Stegostoma tigrinum: one gene and its partners. The protein of the gene in region 3 purifies or fractionates together with the protein of the main gene of each other region. This does not show direct contact. Links are inferred from orthologs where the notes say so. Each region holds a gene or a part of one and is shown on either strand. Other genes may lie near its edges. The genes, in order: E3 ubiquitin-protein ligase MGRN1-like, atrn and ankyrin repeat domain-containing protein 46.

What was found.
Region 1: the proteins of ankyrin repeat domain-containing protein 46 (region 3) and E3 ubiquitin-protein ligase MGRN1-like purify together in Homo sapiens (co-immunoprecipitation; 3 studies listed by BioGRID and IntAct, counting the BioPlex papers as one, with this or other methods). This does not show direct contact. The link is inferred for Stegostoma tigrinum from reciprocal best matches to the Homo sapiens genes ANKRD46 and MGRN1.
Region 2: the proteins of ankyrin repeat domain-containing protein 46 (region 3) and atrn purify together in Homo sapiens (co-immunoprecipitation; 3 studies listed by BioGRID and IntAct, with this or other methods). This does not show direct contact. The link is inferred for Stegostoma tigrinum from reciprocal best matches to the Homo sapiens genes ANKRD46 and ATRN.

Annotation. Positions count from the first base shown.
Region 1 is NC_081376.1:5,521,010-5,528,246, forward strand, and holds the start of E3 ubiquitin-protein ligase MGRN1-like, read left to right. Parts: upstream 1-4,144; 5' UTR 4,145-4,530; coding exon 4,531-4,618; intron 4,619-7,237. UniProt on the Homo sapiens protein: E3 ubiquitin-protein ligase. Mediates monoubiquitination at multiple sites of TSG101 in the presence of UBE2D1, but not of UBE2G1, nor UBE2H. Plays a role in the regulation of endosome-to-lysosome trafficking.
Region 2 is NC_081354.1:177,835,797-177,843,610, forward strand, and holds the start of atrn (attractin), read right to left. Parts: upstream 3,032-7,814; 5' UTR 2,957-3,031; coding exon 2,709-2,956; intron 1-2,708. UniProt on the Homo sapiens protein: Involved in the initial immune cell clustering during inflammatory response and may regulate chemotactic activity of chemokines. May play a role in melanocortin signaling pathways that regulate energy homeostasis and hair color.
Region 3 is NC_081368.1:15,500,699-15,507,814, forward strand, and holds the start of ankyrin repeat domain-containing protein 46, read right to left. Parts: upstream 3,014-7,116; 5' UTR 3,010-3,013; coding exon 2,633-3,009; intron 1-2,632.

The DNA of each region.
Region 1 (7,237 bases), on a different chromosome or scaffold from region 3:
CCATTCTTTAGATGACATGTCCATCATGGGCCTCCTGCAGTGCCAAAATGATGCCACCCAAAGGTTGCAGGAACAGCAACTCATATTCCGCCTGGGAACCCTGCAGCCTAATGGTATCAATGTGGACTTCACCAGTTTCAAGATCTCCCCTTCCCCAACTGCATCCCTAAACCAGCCCAGTTCATCCCCTCCCCCCACTGCACCACACAACCAGCCCAGCTCTTCCCGCCCCACCCACTGCATCCCAAAACCAGTCCAACCTGTCTCTGCCTCCCTAACCGGTTCTTCCTCTCACCCATCCCTTCCTCCCACCCCATGCCGCACCCCCATCTACCTACTAACCTCATCCCACCTCCTTGACCTGTCCGTCTTCCCTGGACTGACCTATCCCCTCCCTACCTCCTCACCTATACTCTCTCCACCTATCTTCTTTACTCTCCATCTTCGGTCCGCCTCCCCCTCTCTCCCTATTTATTCCAGAACCCTCACCCCATCCCCTTCTCTGATGAAGGGTCTAGGCCCGAAACATCAGCTTTGGTGCTTCTGAGATGCTGCTTGGCCTGCTGTGTTCATCCAGCCTCACATTTTATTATCTTGTATGTGTAAGAGATGTGTTTTGTTTGTTGGGATAGAGTCAAACTCCATTGTTTGTTTGTTTCCTTGATGTGGGGGAAAGGAAGGGTAGAACTCTTTGTTCTTTGTTCTTTAGAAAACTCCAACAAGTATAATGTCCAAGGGGAAACAAAGCAGCAGGTTAACCTATGTGGGGGTGGATCCAACTGCATGTAAAACTATGAAAAAAATGAAAGGAAAGGGGAACCATGGAACGGTTGTTAATGTCACCAGAACACAAAATAGGACAGAGTGCTTGGAAAGGGTTAGGAATCAAACTTCAAGCACACTGGTTAAACAATGACAATCAGAAGAGAAATGCTAAATACAGGACTGAAGGTGTCCTACCTGAATGCATGCAGCATATGAAATGAGGTAAATGAGCTTGTGGTGCAGATCAAAATCAGCAGGTTTAATGTAGGCATCACAGAGACATGGCTGCAAGGGAATCAGGACTGGGAGCTAAATATCCAAGGATATTTATACCGACAAGACAGGCAAGTGGGCAGAGGGGATGGGATTACCTTATTAGTAAGAAACAAAGTTAAATCAGTAGCAAGAAATAATGTCGGGTCAGGTGATGTGGCATTTGTGTGCGTAGAGTTGAGGAATCACAAGGTTATAAAAACCATGATGAGAGTTATGTACAGGCCTCCAAAAAGTAGTCAGGACATAGGGCACAAGATATACCAGGAGATAGAAAAGGCGTGTAAGAAAGAGAAGATCATTGGGAATTTAAATATGCAGGTGGACTGGGAAAATCAGGTTGGTAGTGCATCACAAGACAAGGAATTTGTGCAATGTCTAAAAGATGGCTTTTTGGAGCAGCTTGTGGTAGAGCTCACCAGGAAACAGGCAAGTCTGGATTTAGTGATGTGCAATGAGGCAGACATAATAAGGAACTTAAGGTGAAGGAACCCTTAAGTAGGTAGTGACCACAACATGATACAATTTACTGTTCAATTTGAGGGAGAAGATGGAATCAGATGTAACAGTATTACAGTTGAATAAGGGCACCTACAGAGCTGACCAGAATTGACTGAGAGAGGAGCCTAGCATGAAAGACAGTGGAACAGCAATGGCAGGAGTTTCTGGGAGTAATTTGGGAGACATAGTAAAAATTCAGTCCTTGGAAAAAGAAGCATACTAAAGGGACAATCAGTCAACCATGGCTGACAAGGGAAGTCAGGGTCAGCATAAAAACAAAACAGAAAGCATATAATGCAACAAAGGGCATTGAGAAGCCTACAAAGACAAACAGAGGACAATGAAAAAATCAATAAGGACAGAGAAGATTAAATTTGAGGTAATCTAGCCAATAATATAACAGAAGATTGCGAGAGTTTCTTCGGATATATAAAGGGCAAAAGAGGCAAAAAGGGACATTGTGCCACTGGAGAAGTAGTAATGGGGAACAAAGAAATTGTGGAGGAACTGAACAAGTACTTTGGCATTAGTCTTCAGGGTGGAAGACATGAGTAACATTCCAAAACTTCAAGACAGTCAGGGGACAGAGTTGAGTATGGTGGCCATCTCCAACGAGAAGGTGCTAGAAAAACTGAAAGGTCTGAAAGTGGACAAATCATCTGGGCCAATTGGACTGCAGCCAAGAGTTCTGAAGGAGATAGCTGAAGAGATAGTGGAGACATTAAAAGTGATCGCACCAGAATTACTGGAGTCAGGTAGGGTCTCAGAAGACTGAAAAATCATTAATGTAACCCACTGTTTAACATGGAAGTGGGACAAAAGTTACAGGCCAATTAGACTGACCTCGGTCATTGGTAAGATTATGGAGACCATTGTGAAGGATGAGATTTCTGAATACTTGAAAATGCATGGTAAAATAGAGCAAAGTCAGCATGGTTTCATCAAGAGGAGATCATGCCTGACAAATCTATTAGAATTCTTTGAGAAGGTAACGAGCAGGTTAGACAAAGGAGAAGTAATGTATGTTATCAACTTGGACTTGCAGAGGCCCTTGACAAAGTGTGCACCATGATGCTGCTGATTAAGATAAGAGCCCATGGTGTTAGAGGCAAGGTACTAGCAGGGATAGAAGATTGGCCGTCTGGCAGAAAGTGAGGATAAAAGTGTCCTTCTCAGAATGGAAGTCAGTAACTAGTGGTGTTCTGCAAGGTTCAGTGTTGGGAGCACGATTTTTCATTTCATACATTAATGGTCCAGGTGAATGAACTGAAGGCATTCTGACTAAGTTTTCAGATGATACAAACATAGGTGGAGGGACAGATAGTATTGAGGAGGTGGGGAGGCTGCATAAGAATTTAGACAGGTTAGAAGAGTGGGCAAAAAAGGTGGCAGATGGAATACAATGTGGGAAAGTGTGAGGTAAGAAGAATTTTGGTTAGAAGAATAAAGACATAGCCTATTTTCTAGTTGGAAAGAAAATTCAGAAATCTGAAGTGCAAAGGGCCAGGGGAGTCCTAGTCCAGGATTCTCTTAAGGTAAACTTGCAGATTGAGTTGGTAGTCAGAAGGGGCAAATACAATGTTGGCATTTATTTCAAGAGGACTGGAATATAAAAGCAGGGATGTACTTCTGTGGCTTTATAAGACTCGGGTCAGACCACATTTAGAGTATTTTGAACAATTTGGGCCCCATACCTCAGGAAAGATGTACTGGCCCTGGAGGTTCACGGTAATGATTCCAGGAATGAAAGGTTTATCATGTGAGAAATGTTTGAGAACTCTGGGTCTACATTCAAGAGAATTTAGAAGGATGAAGGGAGATCTAATTGAGACTTACAACATAGCAACCCAAGGGCACAGTTTTAGAGTAAAGGAAGACCCTTTAGAACAGAGATGAGAAGGTAAATCTTTGGAATTCATTGCCACAGAAGGCAGTGGAGGCCAGATCATGAATATACTTAAGACAAAGATAGATAGCTTCTTGATTGGTAAGGAGACCAAACGTTACAGGAAGAAAAAGTGGAAAAATGGATTTGGGAAACTTCACAGCCATGATTGAACAGTGAAGATCCGATGGGCCGAATGGCCTAATTTGTGCTCCTATGTCTGATGGTCTGTGCAGCTGTATAGAATCGAACTGCATTTGTGACAATGTATATTTTACGATGGGATTTTTTTCATAAAGTATATTCTTGAAATACGAGAAGTGTGTTGCTATAGTTTAAGGAGAGTTATCAGGCTACTGCTATGCCTGAACAAGTTAATTGGCCTTCAACATGTTAAGGCTTAGTCACACACCATTAAAGACCTAAACCTGAGGTGACACCCTCGGAATCATATCAGCTGGGCGAGGAAACAAGGGAAGAGAAGCCTGGGTAATGCACCATTCCCCAACACCAAAAAGCTGCCAGGACACACAGGGAATGGGAATAGACAACCAACACGAGAACAGCGTGACAGAGACCGGAAGTGGCGTTTATCCTTGCGGTGCACCCTGGATAATGGTGTCTTTCCTGCCTACTGAGTGCCGTCACCGTAGGGAGCCGAGAACTACAGTTCCCAGAGTTCTCCAGTGTCCTTCCCCCTTCCACTCTGCGCATTGGGGACCGGGACTTCCGGCGGTGGAAAGTTTGCGACCGTTTTATGACGGAACAGAAAATGTTCCTTTTGTGGGTGCCTGGAAAGATGAATTAGTCTTCGTTTGGCGAGAGATTTGTTCTTTTGTAGCTTGAGTTCCGATCGAGGGCGTGCACCCTCCTCCCCCACCCCCCGAATAGTAGTTGTTCCTTGTGTTCGGCTTTAAGGCTGGGGTTGGTTAATTGAGGGCGACTGTGAAGGCCCGAGTGGGTTTGAGGACGAGATTGTTTGAGGGTGAGGGGCTGAGACGTTTTGAGGGTTTATGTGAAGGTCTGAGGGCGGAGGGTTTTGTTTTAATTAAAAGCGGCTTTGAGTTTTCAGTTGCCCCCTGCCCTGAACTCGGGACGGTATAACCATGGGCTCGGTGCTCAGCCGGAGAATCGCTGGAGTCGAGGATATCGACATCCAGGCCAACTCGGCCTACAGATACCCACCGAAATCTGGTAAGGGACAGTGACCCCCTTCGCCCATTGGAATCAGTTCTGTACTTAATGATGCAGGTGTTTGTGTGCTGTATGTTCAGTTATACTTGTGGTTCTGACCATGAATTTCCGAATAGGTGGCAAATATATCCATCTCGATCATGTTAGTTAATGTCTTTCTAAGAAATTCTTTGTTTGAGTGTTTAGAATATAGACGTAAGATTACTGGAGAATAGTATGGAGAAGTGTAAGGTTTTCACTTTGCGAAGAATACAGAAGTTTTTTTAAGTGTATGGAATTTATAAACAATACGACAAATTGCTGGGAAATCTCAGTAGGTCTGGCAGCATCAGTGTAGAGAAAGCAAGCTTCACGATTCTGGCCCAGTGATGCCTCTTCAAAACTCCAGCAATTTGTAATTTTGTAAATGTTGATTTGTAATTTGTAATTTGTAAATGTTGATGTTCAGAAGTGTATAGGTGTACTTTGTAGAAGAATCACGAAGTTAGCTGCTGGGTAAAGCAAGCAATTTGGAAAGTGTATGGCGCATTGTCCTTAATGAGAATGGGATTGGGTTGCAAAAATGAAGTAACCTATGATTTATGTAAAGGACTTTGAGGCAACTCCTGGAATACCAATCTGAAGAAGAGTCTTATCCAACTTGAAATGTTAACTCCGTGTTTTGCTCCATAGGTGCGATCAAACCTGATTTGATTTATTAATACTGTCACATGCACTGAAGTACAGTGAAAAGTATTGTCTTACATATTTTACAGGCAGATCATACTACACAAACGCATCAAGGCAAAAGAAGAGAGTGGCGAATACAATGTTAGAGCTGCTGAAAAGTTGGGGTGGGGTCAGAGAGAGATATCAATGTTAACCTATTGAATGGACCTATTTAATGTTAATAACAGTGGGAAGAAGTAATTCTTGTGTCTTACTTTATGAATACAAACAGTTATATTTTCTGCCTGGTGATACAGAGTATACCCCAGTGGGAGGGATCTTTGGTTATGTTGGTTGTTTTCTTGGTGCAGCGGGAGGTGTAGATGAAGGTATTGGATGGCAGGAGGGTTTATGTGGTTGACTGGGCTGTGTTCACAACTCTATGTAGGCCCTTTCATTCTTGGAAGGGGCAGTTGTCGGATCACACTGTGAAGCAAAGGATGCTTTCTGTGGTGTTTATGTAAAAATTTGTAGGAGTCTTTATCAACATGCCTAATTTTCTTAGTCTCCTAAGGTGTTGTTGTGCTTTCTTGACACCAGTATTAATGTGGGTGGACCAGGACAGAGCATTGGTGAATGCCACTCACAGGAACTTGACATTTCCTCAGCTTCGTTGATATAGGCAGGGGCGTGCCCTCTACTCCGCTTCCTGAAGTCAATGACCAGCTCCTTCATTTTGCTGCTGTTGATGAAGAGAGTGTTGTCTTGACATCATGCTGTTCAGCTCTTTATCTCCTTCCTGTAGTTTGTCTCCATTGTTTGAGATATGCCCTAAAATGGTACTGTTGTCAAATTTATAAATGTGGTGGGTGTGGAATTTGGCCATTCAGTTGTCTGTCTGTGTATAAGGAGTATAGTAAGGGGCTATGTACACAGCTTTGTGGAACCCTGGTGTTGAGGGTTACTGTCGAGGAGGTGTTGTCAACTATTCTTATTGATTGTGGTCTGTTGGATAGAAGGTCGAGAATCCAGTTACTGAAGGGGGTGTAGAGACTTAGTTTCTCGAGTTTGAACATGAGTTTGTTTGTGATGCTGATGTTGAAGTTGTAGTCAATAAATAGGCACCTGATGTATGTATCCTTATTGTCTAGATGGTCCTAGGTCCAGGGAGATGGTGTCTGCTATGGTCCTGTTGCAAATTACAACGGATCAAGGCAACCTAGGATGCTGAAGTTGATGTGAGTGATGACCAACTTCCCAAGGCACTTGAGATAACAAGATGTAGAGCTGGATGAACACACCAGGCCGAGCAGGAAGGTTGATGTTTCGGGCTTGGACCCTTCTTCAAAAAGGCCTCCCAAGCACTTCATAACTTCATAATTATGGATGTCATAGATACCAGGTGATAGTCATTGAGGGATGCTGCATAAGTTTTCTTTGGTACTGTGATGATGGTGGTTGTCTTGGAGCAGGTAGAGACTTCAGGTCCTAGTAAGGAGAGGTTGAAGATGTCGGTGAATACTCCCGCCAGCTAGCCCACACAGGATCTGAGTGCATGGCCATTTATGCCGGTCGCTTTCAGTGAGTTCACCCTTAAGAATGCCGGTCCAGTGCCTGTGGTGGTGACCAAGGGTACAGATGCATCTGAGGCTGATGCGACAGGCGCCATCGTTTCTCTGACCTTTTGTTCAAAGTGAGTGTAGAGTGTATTGACATCTTCAGATAGGGATGTACTGTTGTCCGCGATTCTGTTTGACTTCGCTTTGTTGTCGGTTATGTTGTGTAAGCCTTGCCAAAAACAACAGGGGTCCATGTGGTTAGTTTGGGTCTCAAGCTTAGTTTGGTATTGCTTCTTGCCATCCCTGGCGGCCTTGTGAAGATCATATTTGGATTTCATGTACAGATTAGGGTCGCCCAACTTGAATGTCTCGCATCTGGACTTCAGCGAGGGAGTGGATCTTCTAGTTCGTT
Region 2 (7,814 bases), on a different chromosome or scaffold from region 3:
AAGGCTCTTTACGATGTAAAGAAAGAGTAAGGTGATCAGGAGAGAAAGACTAAGGCCTTTAGACAGCAAAGGGACAATCTGTGTGTGGAGCCGGTAGACGTGGGTGAGATCTGAAATGAATACTTCTCATCTCTATTCACAAAGGTGAAAGACATATCTAGGGATTTCAGTTGGGTTGGTGAGGTCTAGCGCACATTAACATTAATAAAGAGGCAGTATTAGATGTTTTAATGAGCATAAAAATGCATTAATCCCCAAGGCCTTAAGAGAAGTATACCAGGCTGCTATGTTCAGCACAAGGAGAGATTGCTGGGACCCTCGCACATTTATTTAATACTCACAGGTCACAGGTGAAGTGCCAGGTGATTAGTGGATATCTAATGATATTCCCTTGCTCAAGAAGGGCAGCAAGGATAAGCCAGGTAATTCATGCATTCCAGTACTAGTCTAACGTCAGTGGGAAGGAAATTATTGAAAAAAATCTGAAGGACAGGATTGGTCAATACTTGGAAAGGCATAGATCGATCAGGGTAGGCACCACTGATTTATCAGAGGAAGGTCCTGTCTGACTAATTTAATTGAGTGTTTTGAAAAGACAACTAAATATAATGATGAGGGTAGTGCAACTGATGTTGTTTACAGAGATTTCACTAAGGTCTTGGGAAGGCTGGGTTTCAAGCTAAGTGCCCATGGATTCAAGGCAAGTTGACAAACTGGATCCAAAACTGATTTCCAAATGGAAGGCAAAGGGTGATGTGGAGGGTTGTATTTCTAATTGAAAGCCTGTGACCAGCAATGTATCACAGGATTTGGTGCTGGGACCTTTGCTGTTATGTAGATTTGTGACTTGGATGTGTGTCGAAGGTACAATTAGTAGGTTTGTGGATGACACAAATTGGTAGCAAACTTGATAGTGAAGAGGTTGGATGAACTAGGCTTGTTTTTATTAGGGTTTAGAAAAGCAATAATGACTTGATTAGAACATTTAAGATCATGAACGATCTTGACAGGGTGAATGTCGATAGGATGATTCTTCTATTGGGAGGATGTCGAATGGCAGGCCAGTATCTTAAAAAAAAAAGCTGCCCAGAAAGATAGATAATTTTTCTTCCTCTTTTAAAAGGGTCCCGAGTCATTGCTTCTCTCTTCCACAGTGGGAGCAGTCTATGAATATTTTAAGCATGTAGATACAGCGTTGATAAAGAAAGTGAAAGGCTAACCAGGGTAGGTAGATTAGCTAGCTGTGATGGCACAACAGACTCAAGCAGCATCATGGCCTACTCCTGGCTCCACACTGTAGGTTTGTGGAGAATGACCAAAGTCTGAAATCTCCACTGCAAGTGGCAATTAATGAGAAATTAAAATCATAACGTGAAATGAGAATGAATATTATTGAGGCACAACAGCACGTATGTTAAATTAGGTGGCAGATTCACCAAGACGTCTCAAAGTTGGATGCAGTATATTAGAAACTAATGTATTAGTTTGATGATCATTTAAGACAGTCCAACAGGGGTATTTTCAGGATGGCAATCAATAACCAGTGGAATGCTACAGGAATCAGTGTCACTCAATTACTTAAGGACTACAACTGTTTAAAATGTATATTAATGACTTGGACGAGAAAAGTGACTAAACTGCAGCCACGTTTGCAGATGACAGACAGGTGGGAAGGCAAGTGAAGAAAATGCCAAAAAGTCTGCAAAGACGAGCCACAACAGAGAACACAAATGGAATGGTGGCCTTTATTTCAAAGGGCAATGGAGTATTAAAAAAATCAGGGAGGTCTTGTTATCTCTATACAAGGCACGATCAGGTCACACTTAGAACTCAACAGTTTTGACACCTTTATCTAAAGCAAGGCATATAGGCATTGGAGGCAGTCCAGAGTATGGGCAGGCTGTCTTACAAAGAGGTGGAGTAAGTTAGGCCTGAAATCATTGGACTTGACGAATAAGGAGTGACTTTATTCAAACATACAAAATTCTTCGAGCACCTGAAGCAGTTGATGTACAAAGTTATTTTCCCTTGTGGAAGGCTCTGGCAAAGTGGGCGTAATCTCAGAATGCATAGTCACCCGTTCAACACAGATGAGGAAAAATTTATTTTCTCAGAGGGTAATCAATCTGTGGAATTCTTCAGCGGAGGGTTGTCAAGGCTGACTCATTAAGTACGTTCAACATTAAGGAAGACAAATTTTTAAATCGGTAAGGCAATCAAGGGTTATGGAGAAAAGCAAAAAAGTCCAGTTTAGAATTATCAAATCAACCATGATTTCAACAAATAATGGAGCAGACTTAATGTTCTGAATGGTCTACTTCTGCTCCTATGTCCGAAAGCAAACAGCGTCAAAATGGCCTAAACCGTGCACATGTACAAATCAATTTTCTAGAAAAAAAACAAATTGCATTTCAGGTTTCTAACAAATAGCAATCAAAAGTAACACTGAGGATACAGAGGGATACTTAAGGAAGGGTAGACAGGGCGAGAAATGAATAAAACATGGACAGTGAATGTGGAAAGGGGTCGTGGTGGTGCTGGCGGGGGTCGTGGTGGTGGTGGTGGTCAGGGTGGGGGGTCGGGGTAGTGGCAGCGGCGGGGGTCAGGGTGGGGGGTCGGGGTAGTGGCAGCGGCGGGGGTCAGGGTGGTTTACGGCCGTGTGTGTCGGAAAGCCGCAGTCGGTGAGGCCCACCAGCCCCCTGACTCACTTGAACCTGCCGCCGCAGTGCTGACACAGCTCCCCGACCCAGCCAGCTTCACACACGCACTGTCCGCCCGCCGCGCTGCAGTTCCCGTGGACACACCGCTTCTCACACTCCTTGCCCTGGGCTCCGGGCCACCCGCACATGGACACACACAGCGCCAGCATGACGCCCCACTTCAGGAAACTCCACGAGCCGGTGCCCAGCGTCCGTCGGAGCGCGGAGCCGGTCCGTCGCTCCCCCGCCGCCGCCATATTCTCAACTTTGTGCTCGATCCGCAGACCGTCCCCGGGAGAAGATGGTAAAAAAAAAACACGCCGCCACCACTGCACCTGCGCACCGAATCACCACCGCCTGAGCATGCGCGCGTGCTCACCTCCCCGCTCATGCACTTGCTTGGCCCGCATGCTGCATATTTTCCTGCTATCCGCTCCAAGCAAGATCTCCCGACTTCTCTTTGCATTCCATTTGCCTTTCCTCATAACCGTTAAACTTAGGTACTAGCCTCTTTTGTGAGATAGACATGCCTCTTTATGTTCACTTCCTTCAGTAAAAAAGGAGAACACTTAATTAGCTTTCTTCATTATGTGCTGCACTTGCGTGCTAACTTCTTGTGACATATGCAAGTGAACATCTAAATTTAGCTAACCATGCCTTCCTTCGTCTCATCCAAATCATTGATGAGAATTGTAAAACTTTCAGGCCCAGTACTGTCCCCTGTGGAACACTATTCATCACATCCGCCAGTCATACAAAGGCATTTTTATGCATACCCAGATATTTTCTGACGGCCAGCCAGTTTTCTGTCCATGCTGAAAAGTTAACCCTGCCTACCATGAAATTTGTTTTTTTGCAATGACCTTTGTGCCACCTAATCTAATGCCACCTGGAACTCCAAGTTGAGTGTGTGTTCCCTTTATCCACAGCACATATTACACGTTTGAAGAACTCCAATAAGTTAGTTAAAGATGATTCCTTTCCAACAAAACCATAAGACTCTTCCTGATTACACTGAGTTTTTCCAAGCATGTGTAACTACATAATCTCCTTAATGATCTATTCTGACACGTTCCTGACATTTGATGCCAAGCTAAATGGCCTGTTGTTTCTTGTTTGCTCCTTTCCTCCCTTTTTGAATAGACAAGATAAATTTGCTTCTTTGCAATCTGATGGAACTTTCCCTGAACTGAAACAACTTTGTAAAATTAACAGGAACACATCTTATAGTTCATTAGCTCTAGGATAAAAGTTTATTTGGTCTCAGCTCTTGACAGCCTGCACCTCCATCGAGTTACTCTGTGCCACTCCCCTTCTGATTATAATTTTCATTTCCTGATTTAGAGCTATAACAGCCACATTTTTGTATCCCCTCTATTGAAGACTTAAGTAAAATATTTGTTGCTCTAACCTTTTGTTATTCTCTACTGCTAATTCCTACTTAAATATCCAGAGGACCATCACAAACTTTGCTTAGATAACAAAGTGTGGAGCTGGATGAACACAGCAGGCCAAGCAGCATCTCAGGACCACAAAAGCTTTCGTGCTCCTGCAATGCTGCTTGGCCTGCTATGTTCATCCAGCTCCACACTTTGTCATCTTGGATTCTCCAGCATCTGCAGTTCCCATTATCTCTGAACATACTTTGCTAACTCACTTTTATTAATACCTGTAGAAACTCTTGCTATCTGGATTTTCATTCATAGTGAATGAATTCCCTCTCATATTCAAATTTCTTCTCTTGGATTAATCTTTTCATCTGTTTCTATAGTGAATAATCATCTGACCTGCCACTTATCTTTCCACAGTTATATCTGTTGTCATCAAGTTTGACACATTAACTATGTTCCTTAATTAACTATGGATGGTGGGTCCAATATTTCTTTGTAGTAGGAATATGAATTGTTCTGAATATTCTGAGATATCCCATTAAAAGTCTGTTACTGGATACAACCCCTAGCCTTGTGCGCTGGTTCTCTTCAGGAAGTTTACTTTTCTTGCTGACATAGATTTAATATGTTCATGTTGGATTCTATTTGGGTAACTGCAAACTTAGTGAGAGTTTTAAACAAAATAGTTGGGGAAAGGGATCAAATGTGAAACGATACGGTACATTAAAAAGACATCTGTAGTATGTTTGCCACTGATCTGCCCATAGACCAACTTGTAACGTAAGACCTTCTTCCTCATCATTAATCAACATCATGGGCATCATGGTGGCTCAGTGGTCAGCACTGTTGCGTCTCAGCATCGGGCACCCAGGGGACAATTCCAGCCTCAGGTGACTGTCCGTGTAGAGTTTGCACACTCTCTCCACGTCTATGTGGGTTTCCTCTGGGTCTTCTGGTTCTCTCCCACAGTCCAAAGATGTGCAGGTTAGGTGGATTGACCATGCTAAATTCCCCCATTGTGTGCAGGGATCTGTATGTTAGATGAATTAAACATGGAAAATGCAGCATTATGGGTAGCGGGGTGGATCAAGATGTGGTGCTCTTTGGAAGGCCAGTACGGGCCAAATGGTCTGCTTCCCCATCCTATGATCTTCTTCTCACCTGCAAACCTACCCTGACATGTGTCCTTCAAAGTTCAAGGGGAGAAGGCAAGAGAATGCGGTTGAGAAACACATCAGCCATGATCAAATGGTGCAGCAACCATGATGGGCTGAATGGCCTACTTTAGCTCTGATGTCTCACGGTCTTATCCCTGTGGTATGCCACCAGATACCAGCCTCCAGTCACACAAATAGTCCTCTGCTCCCCATCTCCTACCATTAAGCTGCACCAAAAAATGAGTTCCTAACCACATGGAGCTACAATACAGAACTACATACAGGCAACAAGCTATAAGAGTAAGTTAGAGGCTGTGGAAGATGTCACTGATTTCCTGACTCCCCAAATTCTGCCACCATTTCCAAAGCATAATTCAAGTATATAAGCAAGACCATCCCGCTTGACTGGATAAGTAAGTTCCAAAGACTTTCAAGAAAGCTGACTATCATCCAGGACAAAGCAACCTGTTTATTTAGGACCCCATTTTCTGCCTTCAACAATCATTCCCTCCACTAGTGGAACCAAATGTAAGCAGTTGCCCTGTCTTCAAGATGCGCTACAGCAGTTCATTACGACATATTACAAATCCACAATGACCACCACGAGGAGGATCAAGAGAGCGGACACTCCTCACTGCTAAATCAAAAACATAGAACTCCACCCCATGGCATTCTGGTGATATATTCACATCACAAACACTACAGATTTTCAAGAAGGCAGCTCTTCACACATTTCAAGACTGATACTTCCTGTACAGCCCACAAGCCAAAAACAAATTTTAAATTATTATGAAAATTGAAAAATATCATTTCTAGGAATGTTTAAGTTCTGTATCACCAAGAAATTACTTACAGGAAAGATTTAAAATGCTTATTTTCCATTCTTTCGCAGCTGTAACTAGGTTTCTGCTAATTCATGGAATATAGATCTTCCAGCAAAATGATTGCATCCGAATTCCCCCAGCTTGCTGCCTGCATCCCACATATGGTATTCAACTTCTTTGCTTCATCTAAAAGAGTTCTCTTTTGTTCAGCCTATCTTTTTCCTGAAATCCCCCATCTTTACTTCAGTGCAAGATAATAAAATGTGAGGCTGGATGAACACAGCAGGCCAAGCAGCATCTCAGGAGCACAAAAGCTGACGTTTCGGGCCTAGACCCTTCATCAGAGAGCTTCATTTACTTCAGTGCACTTCTTTTCATAACAGGTCCATTTGATTTTATTTGTTTTGCTAAATTGTTGACTGCACAAACATGTATTCAATGATTATTCCTGGCCTTATTTTCTAGGCTCCTTTTTACAAGTAATCATTCCCCATTTAACTGTTTTGTCAATGCATTCACAAGCTGCCTGTTCTTTGTATCCATTTTTATGGAGTAGATTTTACTTATTGCAGAACTGGTGCCAATACCAAATCACATCTTTCGCCATGCATTGATTTCACTAATCTTCTTGCTCTTCCCCACTCTAGAGCAAGGTTCATTCAGTAATCCTGAGATTAGCAATTGTGAATTCCAGTCCCTGAAATTGTTGACGAAAAGAAAGAAATAATTTACTTCATATTACACTTTGCATGACCACAGGGTGCACTTCACAGTCCATAAAATACTTTTCCGGTGCACTCACTAAGGTAGATATTTTTAGTCAGCCTGTACAGACATGTATAACTAGAATAGGTGGTATTTGAGCCTGGAACTTGTGGTCCAGCTTTAGGGAATACTGACATTGCACCACAAAAGCCCCAGTTACAAGTTAATGTTGACTGTAAATCTTTCAACAATAACATACATCAAACAATGAGATAAATGACCAATTAAAATTTTAGTGAGAGTCGTTCAAGGATAATTGTTTATTTGCACACCGGAATAACCCCAATTCAAAGGTTACGGATAGGGATTAATTTTAACATCTTTGAATCACAGCTCCTCCAACATTGCAGGAGGTCTTCAGTACTGCGCAGAAACATTAATGACGATCTTGTGTTTCACGACTTCAAGTGAGGCTTCATTCTAGAATCATTTGAGTCAGAGAGGTGCAGCGTGACCAACTGAGTATAAACATAGATTCTTTGATTCAAATAGTCCAGCAGTTCATCAAGCTTGCACAAACAAAAACTATGCTAAATCTACACTCATCCCACTTAGCAGTATGAGGCTTGTAGCCTTGAATGTTATGACACTTCATGAGCTCATTCAAGTAATTTTAAAGATTGTGAGGTTTCCCACCTCTACTACCCAAGGCTGTGCAATCCAGATCTCTACCACCCTCTGGGCGAAAAATGTTTTACTCAAATCCCCTAACAATTTCTGCCTTTCACACAGAAACATAGAAGGTAGCAGCAGGAGGAGGCCATTCAGCCCTTTGAGTCTGCTCTGCCATTCTTCACAATTGTGGCTGATCATCCAACTCAATAGCCTAATCCTGCTTTCTCCCTATAACCTTTGATCTCATTCACCCCAAGTATAATATCTAGTCACCTCTTGAATACATTAAATGTGTTGACATCAACTACTTCCTGTGGTATTGAATTCCACAGGCTTACCACTCTTTGGGTGAAGAAGTGTCTT
Region 3 (7,116 bases):
AGAATAGATTTTATGACTAGGATGAGGAAAGTGAAGGGACTATCACCAAGTTTGCAGATGACAAAAATAAGCGGGAAGACGAATGCTGAGGACGACACAGTCTGCAGAAGGATACAAATAGGTTAATAAGTGGGCAAAAGCTTATCGGATAAAATTCAATGGGAGAAAGAGAGATTTTGCACTCTGGCAGGAAGGGGAGAAGCGGAATATTATTTAAATTGAAGAAAGCTACAGCACAGATGAATCTGGGAGTCCTGGTGCCTAAATAACAAAAAGCAAAAAAAAAGTTCGGCAGGTATTGGGGAAGGTGAAGGTGAACTACCTGAGCTCCTTGGAAGATAGAAGAATGACATGACCTTATCGAAACACAAGATTATTGGGGGACTTGCCAGGGTAAATGCACAAGTGTTTTTCCCCCCCCTCCCTCTGACTCAGAGACTGTCCAGGACCACACAGAATAATTTTAGAGTGAAGGGTTGCCAAAGTAAGACTGAGATGAACAGGAATTTCTTCCCTCACAGTAGAATGACTCTGTGGAATTCTTTATTGCAGACAAATGTAGAGGCTGGGCCATTAAGTATATTTTAGGCTGAGGATTTTTTTAACCAGTCAGGGTTATGGGGAACAAGAAAGTAGAGTTGAGGATTATCTAGATTAGCCATGATTTCGTTGAGTCTTCCTTTTCACTCAATCGGTTGAATGATCTATTACTGCTGTTATGTTTTATAGCCCTATGAGCATCTAGTGATGTTTTTAAGAGCGCAATAATATTTGCAGGGAATCACTATTCAAATGTAGGCCTGGATGTCAAGAGTTGAAATACAAAACAGTAAAAGTTACAGCTTAGGTGCATTTAGCTTTAGTTGGTCTGTGGTTGGAGTAGCAAGTTCATTTCTGAGCACCATGTCTTACAAAGATTCAACTGGCTTTAGAAGCTACACTGCACAAAGATCAGAAAGACACTGGCACCAAAAAAGTCAAAGAGAGACTGCCTAGACTAGGTCAAAATTCCACTGAGTATAGAAGATTTACAGGACACCTCATTCAGGTGCTTAAAGAAGTTTATAGGGTAGATTGAAAGAAACAATTACTTCTGGTGGGGCATAAACTCAAAATTAGAGGTAGACTATTAAGATGTCAGGAAACACTTCTTCAGAAAGTGCAGTACAAACCAGGAAATATGTCTCCTACAAAAAAGCTGCTTGGGAGTTGGCTGCCACCTCAAAATTGAAATGTGGAGATCGACCAATTTCTTAATCTTAATGGATATAGAAGCAAGGCAGGTGGGTAAAAATACAATCTAAATCAGCTGAGAAGTCACTCATTGTTGAGTTTGTGGCAGACTTACCTCTGAACCACAAGGTCTGGGTTTGAGACCTGCTTCAGGACTAGACCACAGCAAACAAGGCTGACGCCTTTGCTGCAGTATATAGTGAATTCTACACATATGGCATTAGCCACCATTTGGATAATGTGCTGAATTAAGCTTCTGTCTACTTGCCGCAGATGCAAAAGATGCATTTGTTTATAATTTGAAATAAAAGCAAAAAGAGCTAGAAATATCAGTTCAGGAAGGATCTCTGGACACAAACTGAGTTAAAATTATGTCCAATGCTGCACAGAATTCTGATGAGAGGGCAATTCAATTTGAAACATTCACTCTCCCTCTCTCACCAGATGCTGCCATCCTGGAATATTTCCAGCACTTTGTTTTCCTGTCTTCATGTTCCATTTAACTCAAAAAAAACAAAATTGCTGGGAAATCTCAGCAGGTCTGGCAACATTTGCAGAAAAAAAAGAGTAAACGATTCAAGTCCAATGATCATTCTTCAGTTCTGAAAGGTCAGTGGACTTGAAACATTAATTCTGTTTTCTCTCAACAGATGTTGCAACACTCAATGGCTTTCTCCAGAAATTTCTGTTTGTTTCAACCTACGTCCAATCTAACTGTCCAGCCCTACCTAAATCCAAGTTCTGAGGAAAGGTCACTGGAAGCAAAACATTAACCCTGACTTTTTCTTCACAGAGGCTGCCAGACCTGCTGAGCTTTTCCAGCAACTTCTGTTTTTGTTCCAAACCAGCTGAGACCCAGTCAAAGTCAATAGAATCATACAGTACAGAAGAGACAATTTGGTTCATCAAGTCTATACTGCCAAAAATATAACACCAGCTACACTAGTCCCACATTTCCACACTATGCCCATAGCCTTGAATATTATGACAGTTTCAAGTCCCAATCAAAGAACTTTCAAAAGATTGTGAAGATTCCCATCTCACTTATCCTCCTAGGGAGTGCAATCCACATTTCTGCCACCCTCCTAGAGGGGGAAAAATGTCCTAAATCCCCACGAAACATCTGGCATATCTCTTTAAAATTACTGAAGAGTGGCTCAGTAGTAAGCACTGCTGCCTCACAGCACCAGGTTCGATTCCACCCTCGGGCGACTGTCTGTGCGGAGTCTGCATTCACCCAGTGTCTGCCTGGGTTTCTTCTGCCCTTAGTGTTCAGGGATGTGTAGATTAGGACGATAGGTCAGGGTGGGATGCTCTGTGTGTCGGTGTGCACTTGCCGGCCTATGCTTCCGTCCAAGACCCAGCTCCAGCCCCAGTCCCAGCCCCAGCCCGGACCCACCAGATGTCGATTTTGAGGCCGTTGGACACCAGGAACTGGATGGAGTCGACATGTCCGCAGAGGTGCAGGGCGGTGTTGCCCTGGTTGTCGGTGGCCAGCAGGTCGGCCCCGAACTTGTGCAGCAGGCGGCAGATTTCGACGTTGCCCCGGGCGGCGGCTACGTGAAGGCCGGTGCGGCCTCGGCCGTCACGGATGTTGGGGTCAAAGCCGCTCTCCAGCAGCCGCTTGGCGTAGGCGAGGTCGCCGTCGATGCAGGCCTGCAGCAGCGGCACCCCGGTCTGACAGGAATCGTTAATAAATACGTACGACATGGCAGTCTTCCGCCACCCTCCTGTCTCTCCGCTGACTGCCACCTCCCCCGCCCCCCCAAAGCCCATCAACCGCGCAGGCTCAGAGCACAGGACGGCAGCAGCAAGAGGTCAAAATTAATGCGTGTACCGGCGCTCAACTCTTCCGCCTTCCCATCCAAAAGGAGGGCGAGAAAACAATGGACTGTAATCCCAGTAGAAAAAAATACACTCAAAACCCACATACAGGGCTTATATACTTGGTCAGTTACCCTAATTGTTGTTTTATATCAAAAGCAAAAGAACTAAGGATGCTGTAAACCAGGAACAAAATGCTCAGCAGGTCTGGCAGCATCTCTGAAGAAAATCCTTCCTCACTGACTAAGAATCTGTTATGATGAAGGACCCGAAACGTTAACTCTGACTTTGTTTCCTCACAGATGCTGCCAGACCTGCTGAGCATTTCCAGCAACTTCTGTTTTCATTGTTGTTTTACATGTTCCTCAGATGTGTGTGCCAATGGCATTCATTGCCTATTTCTAATTGCACTGGGGGTAAAGCTGGGTGAGCCAACCTGAGGTGCAGGGATGCCCACAGTGCCATTAGGGACGGAGTTCTAGGCTTTTGACCCAGTGACAGTGAAGGAATAGCTATGTGGTTTCAAGTCACGATGCCTAGGGATCTTAAAGTGCAATGGTAGTGTCCATACCTCTGAGCCAAGAGATCCGGGTTCAAGTCCCATATGCTCCAGAGAGTGTGTCATAATAAACAAAAACAAAAAATGCTGCAGGGAACTCAGCAGACCTGGCAGCTTCTATGGAGAGTGTAACAGAATTCACATGGACGGTCTCTTGTGGTGCCATGGTAATGTCCCTACGTCTGGGATAGAAACTCTGGGTTCAGTTCTCACCCACCACAAAGGTATGTTAGAATAGCGTGACTGAAAGTCTCTCCAAGTCACAACAGTGAGGGGAACTAGCAGATTGAGATGGTGTTCACAGGCATTTGCTGAACTTTTCCTTCAGAGGTGCCAGAGGTCTCAGGTATGGAAGGTACTGTCGAAAGATGGTTTGCAAAGATGCTATTGAAGAAGAACCTGCATTCTGAAGAAGGGTCCCTGAATTTAAAACATCAACTTTTTCCAGCTCCTTTACTTGGTACTCTACTTACTGTTTTCAGCAGTCATGTTCTTGTCTAGCCAACTCATAACTTCATTACATTTGTCCAAAATGATGTGCTTATCATCATGTCCAACTTTGCCATTTCGCTTCTCATCCTCAGTTGTGGCCTTCATATTAAAGGCATAAAATTTCAAAGCATTCCTTTCAGCAAATTTTCACCTTACTTGTCATATTCACTTTTGTGCTTCCTAGACCATACTTTCAATATCATCCTTGGTCAGGCAACCTTTCTTATTTTTGATGGTGATCTTATTTTTCCTCTCCAGGTGCTCTCACACACACACTCAGACACATTCAAGATCCCATTGGCATCGATTCGAGGCACATTCTGAGAAGTCAGCTGACACTTGCTCAGCAAGTTGATATCCATGGTCATGGCTATTTCAACCTCTAATACTTGAATCAGCGCTCCAGGCTATCAGAGTAGGTAGTAAAGGGTCTGCATTTGTTTGATGGAATGGTGGTATTGCACATGTCATCATTACATCACCAGCAGTTTCAATACCAAGTGATAGAAGAGTGACATCTAACAGCTGCAGATCTCACAAAGCCTCAGAATTGTCACCTGCCAAGATGGTCGCCTGCACAGCAGCATCAGAAGCAACAGCCTTCTCAGGGTTAACAAAGTGTGGAGCTGGATGAACACAGCAGGCCAAGCAGCATCTCAGGAGCACAAAAGCTGACGTTTCGGGCCCAGACCCTTCATCAGAGGGTCTAGGCCCGAAACATCAGCTTTTGTGCTCCTGAAATGCTGCTTGGCCTGCTGTGTTCATCCAGCTTCACACTTTGTTAACTTGGATTCTCCAGCCTCTGCAGTTCCCATTATCTCAGCCTTCTCAGGGTTAATGCTTTTGTTCAGTTCATTGTCATTGATAAAAATCTTACAGCAGTTTCTGGATTTTGGGAATGTGGGTGGATTCACTAACCATGATTGAAAGTCGTTGCCTTATAATGATGAAGTATTTCCATAATTTTCTGTTTTCATGGGTGAAGCAATTAAAGGTGGAAGGTCATGTGATGACGTCTCCAAGAATATGTCCAGACACATTTGACAACTTCATTCTATAGCCTGCTTAAAAGGCATCATCAGCAATGGACCCATTGGTGATAAATATGCTAACTCCTTTGAGCTAACACAGAAGTTGCTGGAAAAGCTCAGCAGGTCTAGCAGAATCTGTGAAGAAAAAAAGTCAGAGTTAACGTTTCGGGTCCAGTGACCCTTCTTGGGCCTTGATGCCTGAAAGGAAAAGAAAAGTTAGCGCGATGAGTGAGCCGGAGGATGAAGTGAAACTGCAGAGTGGTGCAACCCTGAGCCCATGTGATGCGATGCTCTTGGAGAGAAAGGCCGAGAGTGTGCATGTAACTGAGTGTGGATCTCAGGATGCAGCGAGAGCAGCTATCACATCACAGAGATACCTGCGATCCTGGGAGGATTCAAAATATGAGGGATGAAACTTCAGTTGGAATCCACATGGTGCAACTCCTTTGATGATGTCAAGAGGGTGAATGGGGGAGGGTTGCCGTCTTCTGCATGTAATGCAATGTGATGTGACGATGCTGACAAAAAAACAAAATTTCACAGAAATTGAACACCTCCAATAGTCCCCATGATCACAGATGCAGTCTTCAGTCAACTTGATTAACTCCATATGATGTCAAGATATGGTTGGAGGCAGTGGATACTGCAAAGGCTGTGGAGTCTGACAACATTCTGTTATGCTCGAGAACTTGTCACTCTCCTAGCCAAGCTGTTCCAAGATAAACAACACATCTACTCAACAATGTAGAACATTGCAGTACAAATCCAACTTGGCCAATTACCACCTCATTTATCCACTCTCAATCGTAAACAAAGCGATCAACATCAACAGTGCTATCAGGCAGCACCTGCTCAGCAATGACCAGCTCAGTAATAGTAGGAACTGCAGAATCTGAGATAACAAAGTGTACAGCTGGATGAACACAGCAAGCCAAGCAGCATCAGAGGAGCAGGAAGGCTGACGTTTCGGGCCAAGATCCTTCTTCAGATGGTCTAAGCCCGAAACATCAGCCTTCTTGCTCCTCTGATGCTGCTTGGCCTGCTGTGTTCATCCAGCTCTACACTTTGTTAGACTAGCTCAGTAATGCCCAGTTTGGGTTCCACCAGGGCTACTCAGCTCCCAAGCTCATAGCAGCTTTAGTTTAAACATTGAAACAAGAGCTGTTTAAGAGTGACAGCCCTTGACAGCAAGGTTGCATTTGAATGAGTATGGCATCAAGGAGCCCAAGCAAAACTTGAATCAATGGTAATAAGGGGAAAAGTCTCCACTGGTTGGAGTCATACCTTGCTCACAAGAAAATGGCTCTGGTTGTTGGAGGTCAGTCATCTCAGCTCCAGAACATCTCTGCCGGAGTTCCTCAGGGCAGTGTCCTAAGCCCAGTTTCTCCTGCTTAATCAATGACCTTCCTGCCAGCGTAAGGTCAGAAGTGGGGATGTTCACTTATATCTGTTATCTGCATCCAGCTGTGCCCCATTTAGGACCTTGCCACTGAGAGCGATGAGCCCTTAGCTGGTAGTATGTTGGTCACTGTAGCTGCCTACCTGAAAAAGCAAAGACAGATGCAGGAGAATGATGGCAATGTCTAGCCTAGGAGAAGCAGCAGCAGCAGCAGGCCAGCTCAGAGAGAGGTCAAAGCCACAGGATCCTCAGGATATGTGGGCTGCACAGGAGGCCTGGTGCTTTCTGGCCCCAATTCCATTCCCTGAATTTGAGCAACATGCCGTGCTGAAGCAGGCTCCATTTGTCTCAAGGGCACGGAGATGGAACTGTTCAGGATGGCTGCAGGAGTGGGAGGCCGTCTTCTCGCATCAGCTGTTAAGGTCACTGTAGCATTGAACTCCTAGGTGACCCGCTCCTACTTACGGAGCAAGACAATGTTTAATCTCTTAGTTGGGCACCTACAAATGAGTTTGGATGATGATAGAACAAAGAACAAAGAGAATTACAGCACAGGAACAGACCCTTTGGTCCTCCAA